Linked DNA regions of Arabidopsis thaliana. The protein of the gene in region 2 interacts with the protein of the main gene of each other region in a pairwise test. Each region holds a gene or a part of one and is shown on either strand. Other genes may lie near its edges.

Region 1 (4,719 bases), about 18 Mb from region 2:
ATTCTTTTAGGGTTTAGGCCTTTAGGGGGATGATCTACAAATACGAGTCTGAGGCAAACAAGTCTTTATATAGTATAGATTTAATTTTGATATTTTTTTAAAGTTTCTTATATGAATATTAATTTGATTGAGAAAAGTCTGTCTATCAATTAATTGGGTATGCTAAGTTAAACAAGATTAATCAAGAATGAGTAAACAAAACCAAGTAAATTAGTGTAACTCTAATTTTGTTTTGAATTTTGATCATGTAAGAAAGCTGAAAACAAACTAAACATAAAAACCACAACAACTACACCGGAATTTTATCAAAAACTAGGCTTAAAACCAAACTGAAAGAAAAAAAAAAGATCCATCCAAAAACTTAAATCTGAAAGAGGTAATATATATATTTAAGGTGAAAATAAAAAGAAAGCGAAGTTGTGACACATACTGTAATGTAAGCTTTCGCACGAAGGCATCTCCATCAGAAAGGTCACACCAGACTTTTAAAGTGACACATGTAGGTCCCAATCTTCTCCGACCTTTTCAAAGTTCAAGAAAACAATCTTAATACAACAAATTAGCTCACATATAATATGATCAATAAAGAATAACATGCAAGGAATTGGAAATCAAATTAACAAACAATTTAAACTAAACTCGTGTATTTAATCATATTAAATTGAAACTAAGGCATGATGTCTTAATCTCTTGACTACTCTCACGTGCCATGAGTGATTCATCTTTTTATTAATCTTGTAGTTTTTTTTAATATGATTCATAGTTGCAGGTATAAGAAAACAAGTAAAGTAAATGCTTACAAACATAAGAAAACAAAATTCTGTGAAATTTTAGTCCACCTGGTTTTATATAAGCATCTTCTTCTGTTAGATTTTTCTGTGCATCGTTTAGGAATAAATATTTAATTTTAATTTATCTTATTTTTTTCCTTCATTTTGCGTGTTTCATTTTTTGGTTAGTTTTGTTTTGTATCTGTTGGTTGCATGTCTCAATAGTCAATGTCGTCGTATACAATCATAGTTTAAATAAAACTAAAAATTGTTGGTGCAGCTTATAATCGACTAGCCAACTTTAAACAATACGAAATAGAACGTGGTAATTTCCAATTTCGATTTCTTTTTCCTTAACAAAAAAAGATTGATCTTTAATTTGGTAGACGAAAAGAAAATTAATAACGGCTAGAAATACATTTATACGACTATTTTAACTGGTAGTGAAAATTGATCGACTGGCAACTATAAAATTAATATATTATGAAAATTTATTGGCTAAGTGAAGTAATTTGAGATTATTTCATAGAAATACATTTATACGACTATTTTATGTTTTTTTCTTGATTACTATCATGCATTCATATGTTACATTATTCTGTTTTTATCACATAAATATATATACACTACATTAAAGTGATTTGTAGAAAGCGAAAGCAAATACTTAATTAAGACGTACGTTAGAGCCTAGAGGAGTGTGTGTGTGTGTGTCATTTTCGTCTTGCGGTGTAATAAATTAGGTTAGATGGTTTGTTCAACATTAAGATTTATTGTGGTTTTTGTTAGGTATGTCGTAATTGTGAAGTGATCATTTGCTAATTTATCAACCGCATCCTCAAACTAATCCTTTAATTTTATTCGACTTTAGAATTCATTAAGAATAGTAATATCTTAATATGTCAAAATTTGACGATGCCATATAGACAAGTTTGAATAAATTTAGTGTTATATAATGCAATCAACGTAAAGGAATTTTATTTATACACATCTCGTGACCAATTTTTCTTTTACTTATCTGTGTAGTTGTAAGTGTTATGCAAGTAGCATGTGTGATGTGTCATCATTGATCTATGATTTGTAACAAACTATGACACATGTTGTCTTTTCATTTCATTTATCCCTATTTTTCCATTTTGCTCTTGTTTTTACTTTATAGTAACTAGCTTAAATTATTATTATTGCAAAATGCCAAATTGTGAAATAAAATCTCTAATTGTGGCCGAATGTGTGATAGGTGTAAGTTTTATGGTTTTTTAATAAACTCGTGAAGTTATGGGTCTTTGTGGAATATTCTAAAACTATTGGGGCCCAATGTGTAAATATTTTCTATTCACCTTCTTCACTCTAAGAATCGTTTTTACCTAAGACAGATCGTTTCAAAGGTTTCAACATTTGTCTCTTGAAATCGATCGCCGTTTTTCTCCATCCTCCGTTCATAATTCCGGCACCGTTTATCCAAAATCTACACTTGGCTGAAAACATGAGGTAGCTGTTCGATTTCTAGGTTTTTTTGAAAAAGTATAATCTCGAATTCGATTTGTGTGTATGTTTGCTTAACTCACAAAAAGGTTTTGCGTGATTTGTGAGCTGAGTTTGACTTCCTCGTCACATTTTCTCTAACCAGACTATATAAAGCCCTTACCTTTAAGTTCTTTTACTAAAGGGGTTTTCATTAGTTATATAGCCTTATAGAGAGTAGTGTTCTTTGTGATGATGAGAGACTTGTTTGCACAGATCTTACAACTTTTCTTTACTTGTGATGATGATTGGCTTCAGCAGCATTCATGTTTACAATCTATATAAGCATTGGCTTTTGTTTTACTTGTGAAGTTCAAAATTGAGAATCTTTGTGATTGATATTCGTATGATGTAACAAGTTAGTCGTAATCTTCTGTTACGGTTGTGTGATTGAGGTAGTATGTTGCACAAAGTCCGCTGAGTAGAGTAACATCGTATTATATTGTTGTTTCACCTTGTGTGCAGTCGTAATCCGGAGGTTCTTTGGGCTCAGCGTTCTGATAAAGTTTACCTAACTGTCGCCTTACCTGATGCGAAGGACATTTCGGTGAAGTGTGAGCCTCAGGGTCTATTCAGTTTCTCTGCTCTTGGTGCCCAAGGCGAGCGCTTTGAATTCAGCTTGGAGTTATATGGGAAGATTATGACAGTAAGTACCATTTCTTCCTTTAAATGATAAGAACTAGCAGCAACTGTAAAGTATCAAGTGGAAAGTAACCATTGCATCTCTAAATCGATAAGTATCCACATATACTTCTTATAACAAATCTATGTAATATGTATGATGCAGGAATATCGGAAGAATGTAGGACTAAGGAACATCATATTTTCAATTCAGAAAGAAGAGAGAAGCTGGTGGACACGACTGCTGAAATCGGAAGAGAAACCTGCACCTTACATCAAAGTCGACTGGAATAAATGGTGTGATGAGGATGAGGAGGTCAACTGTAAGTCGTAAAAATATATGTTACAAGCCAAAGTTCTCTTTTCAGTTCAATCTCTAGATGATAATCGAAAATCTTCTCATATTACATGCTTGATTAAGTAAACCTTGTTTGAAAAGACATAGGAAAATCACAAGTATTCTGATCTCTATATGATAATTTGTTTCTAACGTTAGACTCTTTTTCGTTTCTGTTTCAGCTGAAACAGCCTCTGATGATGAGAGTGCAGTAAGTGTTTTCTCATAATCGCCTAATGTATATCTTTCTATTGTTGTTTAGTAAAGCCACCCTGTTTGATTATTTTCCCTCTTTATTTTCATAGTTTGTTAATCAAGATAGTGAAAGCAGCGATGACGATGGATTGCTCTGTAAGTTTCAAGAATCTTTATCTTCTTATAGCAATGATTACGTACATTTCACATATTATATCTATGTATACCTGCAAGTAGAGATTAAGTGAAGATTGATGGATTATTGTGTTAAAGGCCAAAGTATTAGTAGCAAACTATTCTGTGATTCAGTTCTGGTTAGTGCCAAATATAAATCTGAACTTGTCTGTACTGATCTTACTAATAACATTATATTTGGTCAGATCTTCCTGATCTGGAAAAGGCAAGAAACAAGTAGCTTAACCGCAACAACAACCAACCAACCAACTCTGGAAGATGAAGAAAAAGTAAAAGACTACGAGCTGAAACATAGTGCTTTAGGATGATCCGGTTTGTTCTGTACCTGACTAAACCGACCACCTATCTCTTCCGGTTTACTCAGGTTTACCTCTGATTTAGGTTTCGTAGGGTAATCAGCATTAGTTGTCTCTGATGTAGTTTGGCTTTTTTTTCTGTTATGGTTGGTTCACAAGTTAGGGTTCGGTATGTGAATTCTACCGAGAGTAGGAACTTATAAAGTAATGTAAGGGTTGAACTCTAATAGACTAATACCGTTGAATGACTATGTCTTTTTCAATGGTTCGGATACTTTATCGTCTTTAGCATGTGATGTCGCCGTGAATTGATCATCCGACGAAGAAGAAGATGCAGGGATTATTTCAGACCAAACTTAAAAGCTTCTGATACAACAAGAATCCTAGACTGTATAACAAAACAAAACTTTTTCTGAGAAGTCTGCGTGTGTTACTTTAGGAGAATCTCAAATATCCAGTTTGGAATATTTTGTTTGAAATCATAATAAGATCCTTAATAAACATAAATCTTTCTCATGATCCACAAACAGACATCAACGAATGAAAAAAGGACAACATCGTGCAACACTAAAAGTTTTCACATTATCCGGCATAGTTGCAAATCTCCCATCGTAAAGTTTTTAGGCGGAGCTGGTGTAGGCGGGAAACTCTTAGCCACCGGTTCTTTCTGATGGAATTTGTACGGTGGTGGTGCTGGTGGCTGCGGATGGACCTGACGTGGATACGGTGGTGGTGGTGGGGGACATATAGTGGGATTGTATAGTTGAGGTTGATTCATCCAATAATC
Region 2 (4,736 bases):
TCGAGATTCGAGTATGTTGAGACTATGGTTTCACAATCATGCTTCTCGCTTTCATCGCTGCTTTCTTCAGTCAGCTCTACAAATTCATCTTCATTCCCGTTATCAAAATTTTCACCATATTCTACAGTTCGGCGGATAACATGAGCAGCAGTGTCCACTTCCTCTTTATCTCTGACAGAGTCACTGTTCTTCAGTATATCCGCAGGGTTCATATATTTTTCTTCAAGCTCATAATCTTTTGCCTTCCCATGAATAAGATTCTGAACTTCTTGAGCCATGAAGTCTTCTTCTTCTTCTTCTTCTCCATCTTCAGCTATGTAACCATCACCGTCACTATCACTTCCATATTCATTGAGTTCGAGCTGATCAAATAGCTCATCAATTTGACGAGGAACTCTCGGGTTTTCAGCCACAGGTTCATCACTTTCTCTTTCTCTAACCTCACGTCTTACAGAAAACTCGAGCTCTCCATTGCTCACACCAGAAGATTCACCCTTTTGAGTAAGATTAGCTTGAACAACAAAATCTTCTTCCAAATCCTCAACATCAGAACCAAACTCAGACCCATCACTGTTTTCAAGCAACGCAGCAACTTCAGGATCAATAGCTTTCTGCACCTTGACGTTAACAGTCTTGGACGCAACACTATACATCAACTTATTATCATTACCTTCTTCATTCACCATACCAGAGATCTTCACACGAGACGCATCATAAGCCTTAACATCACGAGGTAACTGAGCAACCTCATACTTAGGATTCACATAGAAATTAGAACCACCACCAGTATTCTTAATCTCTCTCAAATGCTCCAAGTAATTATAACCATCATCAGGATACCCTAACTCTAAAATCTCCTTCCTCACATGAGCAGGTAAAGAACTACTCGAATCCCCAAAACTAGAGTAACCATAATCCATCTCTTCAGGAGCATCATCAAACCGTGAGCTGTCTCCTTCTTCTTCTTCATCTTCTTCAATGAAACCATTGATGTTAACAGGGTTTTGATCAACTCGTAAGAAGATCTTATCACCACCTGGTGCATCACTGTATCTTGGGTCTGACGTATCACGAGGACACAACTCGAAAGTCGCCGCCTTTTTCTTATCAATAAACTTCTTCTTCCCCATTACTTACTAATTCACACCTTCTTAAGGGTTTTGCAAACTGTAAAACAATTACGAAGATATAAGATGTCTAACTTCTAAGTCACAGCAATCAACTAGACTATGTTTCAATCCTGACTAATAAAATGTAAATTTTTATCATCAATCAACACGAAAACATCGAAAAGGGAGAAACTTTAAGTCTAGAAACGATTCAAAAACACTAATTTAATGAAATTGAAGAAGCTTACCTGAAGAGTTTGAGAGAGAGAGGCGGAGAACAATGCAGATGAAGAACAAAAACGCTGTTGAAGATTTTTAGTTTTAGGGTAGAGCCACCCAAAACGCATCATTTTAGGGTTTAACCAAAACGCTGCGTTTTTGTGTTAAGCAAGCCAAAACGCGTCGTTTTTGGCAACAAGTCAAATTAAATATTTGTTTTATTTCCATAACTCAGTGTATGCCACTAAAAGAAATAATCCACCGCGGGAGAGTGCACCGAATGGTTACATGCACCTAATCTTCTTCTTCTCCTACTTTCTTCGACGGTACCTGTTGTTATTGTGCGCCATCTTGATCTTACGTGCGCCGTTGGCGCATTCTCTTATACCACCATTAACGTGCGTCAACACCGGAACCGTTGAATCAGACGTTACTGGTATCAGGTTCGATCGTTGCCTCGATACCGATTCTCTCGCCAAGATCTCTCTTTCCACCGTCATGTCGAAAGCTCGTGTTTATACCGATGTTAACGTGATCCGACCTAAGGATTATTGGGATTACGAATCTCTCAATGTTCAGTGGGGGTAAGATCGTATTTTTCGAAAATTATGAAAACCCTAGGAAGCTAATCAGTTAAAAAAATTGGATCTTGTAATGTAGAAATTGAGCTTTTTGTCTAGCTGGCGATGTTCTTGGTTTTTAATCTGGTTTTGAGGAGAGTTTGTTGGTTATTATGATTATGATCATGATGGGTGATGATGCTTTTGTTAAAGTTTTGAGCTTTTTTATGTGGGTTTCGTTGTCAGGGAGCAAGATGATTACGAGGTAGTGAGGAAGGTGGGGAGAGGGAAATACAGTGAGGTTTTTGAGGGGATTAACATGAATAACAATGAGAAGTGTATTATCAAGATTCTCAAGCCTGTTAAGAAGAAGAAGGTGAGTGTCTATATTACTTCAATTGGTGACTTATGATTGATAGCAATGAATGGTGTTGCTTTTACAAAAGGTTTTGTCTTTACTTAGTTTTGATTTTGGGTTGCCTTTCTGAATTTGTATGATCCTTTTACAGATTAGAAGGGAGATTAAAATACTTCAGAATCTTTGTGGAGGGCCAAATATTGTAAAGCTGCTTGATGTTGTCAGAGATCAACACTCAAAAACGCCAAGCTTGATATTTGAGTATGTAAACAGCACAGACTTTAAGGTTCTGTATCCAACATTGACTGATTATGACATTCGCTACTACATCTATGAGCTGTTGAAGGTAATTTTAATTTATTTTATGTAGAGTTTATTATTTCATTACGACTTCTGATTTGTGGAATTTTCTCGGTTCCACAACAAATTTAGTTCAGTGATAACCTTGCAAATTTCCTATGATATGCTGCAGGCTTTGGACTTCTGCCACTCACAAGGAATAATGCACAGAGATGTCAAGCCACACAATGTCATGATCGACCATGAGCTGCGCAAACTTCGCCTAATAGATTGGGGTCTCGCTGAGTTTTATCATCCTGGAAAAGAGTACAACGTCCGTGTGGCCTCAAGGTATGTATGATAGGCGCCTTCAAGATAAGTTGGTTTCCTATCCATTTTTAATATTTAGTCGTTATCAGTATCTAAGCTTGATCAAATGTTGTCTCAGATACTTCAAAGGTCCCGAACTTCTAGTTGATTTACAGGACTATGACTATTCCTTGGACATGTGGAGCCTCGGTTGCATGTTTGCTGGGATGGTGAGTACCTTGCGAAATGCTAGGCTTCCAATGCTACATTTATATATGATCATTCTTTTCAAAAAATTTCCAAAATATAGTATCGTAATGATGAAGTGTCTAAATTATCTTTTCTTGTAGATATTCCGCAAGGAACCTTTCTTCTATGGCCATGACAACCAGGATCAGCTCGTCAAAATTGCCAAGGTAATCAAATGCGTGGGTAAATGTGGGAATTTTAGAGGGATTGAGTGTTTTTTCACATCTTTAGAGTGTATGTTTGATTCTTGACTCAGGTACTCGGAACTGATGAATTGAATGCATATCTGAATAAGTATCAGTTAGAACTTGATACTCAACTAGAGGCACTTGTTGGGAGGTAAGCAGAACTCACATATTCTCTCTATAGTATAAGAGTAGATTAAAGCAGTGCCAATGACCAATCCTCTTTCCACAGACATAGCAGGAAGCCTTGGTCCAAATTCATCAACGCTGACAATAGGCATTTGGTCTCACCTGAGGTTTGTTTACTTTGTTCTCTGTATTCTATAAGAAACACAAACGCTTTTGTTTGTTGCCATGGTTTCTCTCTCGAGCTGTAACTTTGTTTTAAATGTAGGCGATTGATTATTTGGACAAGCTGCTCCGGTATGATCATCAAGACAGATTAACTGCAAAAGAAGCAATGGTAAGTATCATATAACGTAACTCAAACAAGTTTTCGTTCTCATAGTCTGCTAAATTGTGATGGTTTTATGAATTGATGACAGGCTCATCCCTATTTCGCTCAAGTCAGGGCAGCAGAAAGCAGCAGAATGAGGACTCAATAGAGATGTCTCGGCCGATTTTTGTTTCTTCTTCTTCTCCAGTGTGCTCTTTTGTTGTTTACTAATACATTTTCATATCCATATGGATTTCTTTTATAATGTCGAAATTATGGATTTATAAATATGAGAATTCTTATTACTCCCTCCGGTTTCTTAAAAGTTTGTGTTTTGAGATTTTTGACACTTTAAAAAATTATTTACAGTACCAATATGAATCTAGACTAAGTTGTAACTTGTAACGAGGCTCAGATTACACACACATGCCTTGTTTGTACACAATTATGTGTCTTTGATCATTTTGATCTACGTTATGTTTCCAAATTGATATTTTACTGAACTTGTATCTATACTTATTGTTCCCCAGCAGTAGTTATGAAATTATGAAAAACAACAAGCGTTCAAAAATCACACAGATGCAAAGCAAAATACGATAAATCACAACAATATCGAAACATATCAGTGTTTTACTTTCAATACAACAAATGAAAGTTCTTATAACTTGGAAGACTAATGGCCACCAAGGTAGATCACCTCTTTACTTTTAGTAAGTAAACATGATCTGGAACAATATTCAAAACCATTGCACTGGAAAAATGTTTTGTGTGGACAACGCTTCTTGCAAATAAAGCAAAAAGGTCGAGACATATGATGATTGTTTGGCAGAACACTTACCTCTGCACCGTACTTGTTGAACCATTTTGAACCGGGCTTCATGTAGAAGTCCACCCCAACCAAGCATTCAATGTGTATGGTGACACAACAATACTCATCACAACTATAAAACCGCTCCTTTGGATTTAATCTTTCCTCACAAATTTCACACCAATAAGTCATGGTACTTGTCTTGTCCCCATAAGAAAGAGTGA

The links.
Region 1: the proteins of CKA2 (region 2) and AT3G03773 interact in a protein complementation assay, tested with the Arabidopsis thaliana proteins (one study listed by BioGRID).

What each region holds. Positions count from the first base shown.
Region 1 is NC_003074.8:949,635-954,353, forward strand, and holds AT3G03773 (HSP20-like chaperones superfamily protein), read left to right. Parts: upstream 1-1,993; coding exon 1,994-2,006; intron 2,007-2,140; coding exon 2,141-2,255; intron 2,256-2,600; coding exon 2,601-2,639; intron 2,640-2,753; coding exon 2,754-2,934; intron 2,935-3,075; coding exon 3,076-3,232; coding exon of another isoform or gene 3,233-3,243; exon of another isoform or gene 3,244-3,428; coding exon 3,429-3,457; intron 3,458-3,551; coding exon 3,552-3,597; intron 3,598-3,821; coding exon 3,822-3,856; 3' UTR 3,857-4,206; downstream 4,207-4,719. Other genes in the region: AT3G03776 (hydroxyproline-rich glycoprotein family protein), read right to left, coding at 4,510-4,719.
Region 2 is NC_003074.8:18,532,871-18,537,606, forward strand, and holds CKA2 (casein kinase II, alpha chain 2), read left to right. Parts: upstream 1-1,579; 5' UTR 1,580-1,616; coding exon 1,617-1,912; intron 1,913-2,134; coding exon 2,135-2,264; intron 2,265-2,397; coding exon 2,398-2,592; intron 2,593-2,718; coding exon 2,719-2,876; intron 2,877-2,973; coding exon 2,974-3,064; intron 3,065-3,184; coding exon 3,185-3,250; intron 3,251-3,339; coding exon 3,340-3,422; intron 3,423-3,500; coding exon 3,501-3,564; intron 3,565-3,662; coding exon 3,663-3,731; intron 3,732-3,813; coding exon 3,814-3,873; 3' UTR 3,874-4,203; downstream 4,204-4,736. Other genes in the region: AT3G49990 (Low temperature viability protein), read right to left, coding at 1-1,130; AT3G50010 (Cysteine/Histidine-rich C1 domain family protein), read right to left, coding at 4,378-4,736. UniProt on the Arabidopsis thaliana protein: Casein kinases are operationally defined by their preferential utilization of acidic proteins such as caseins as substrates. The alpha chain contains the catalytic site.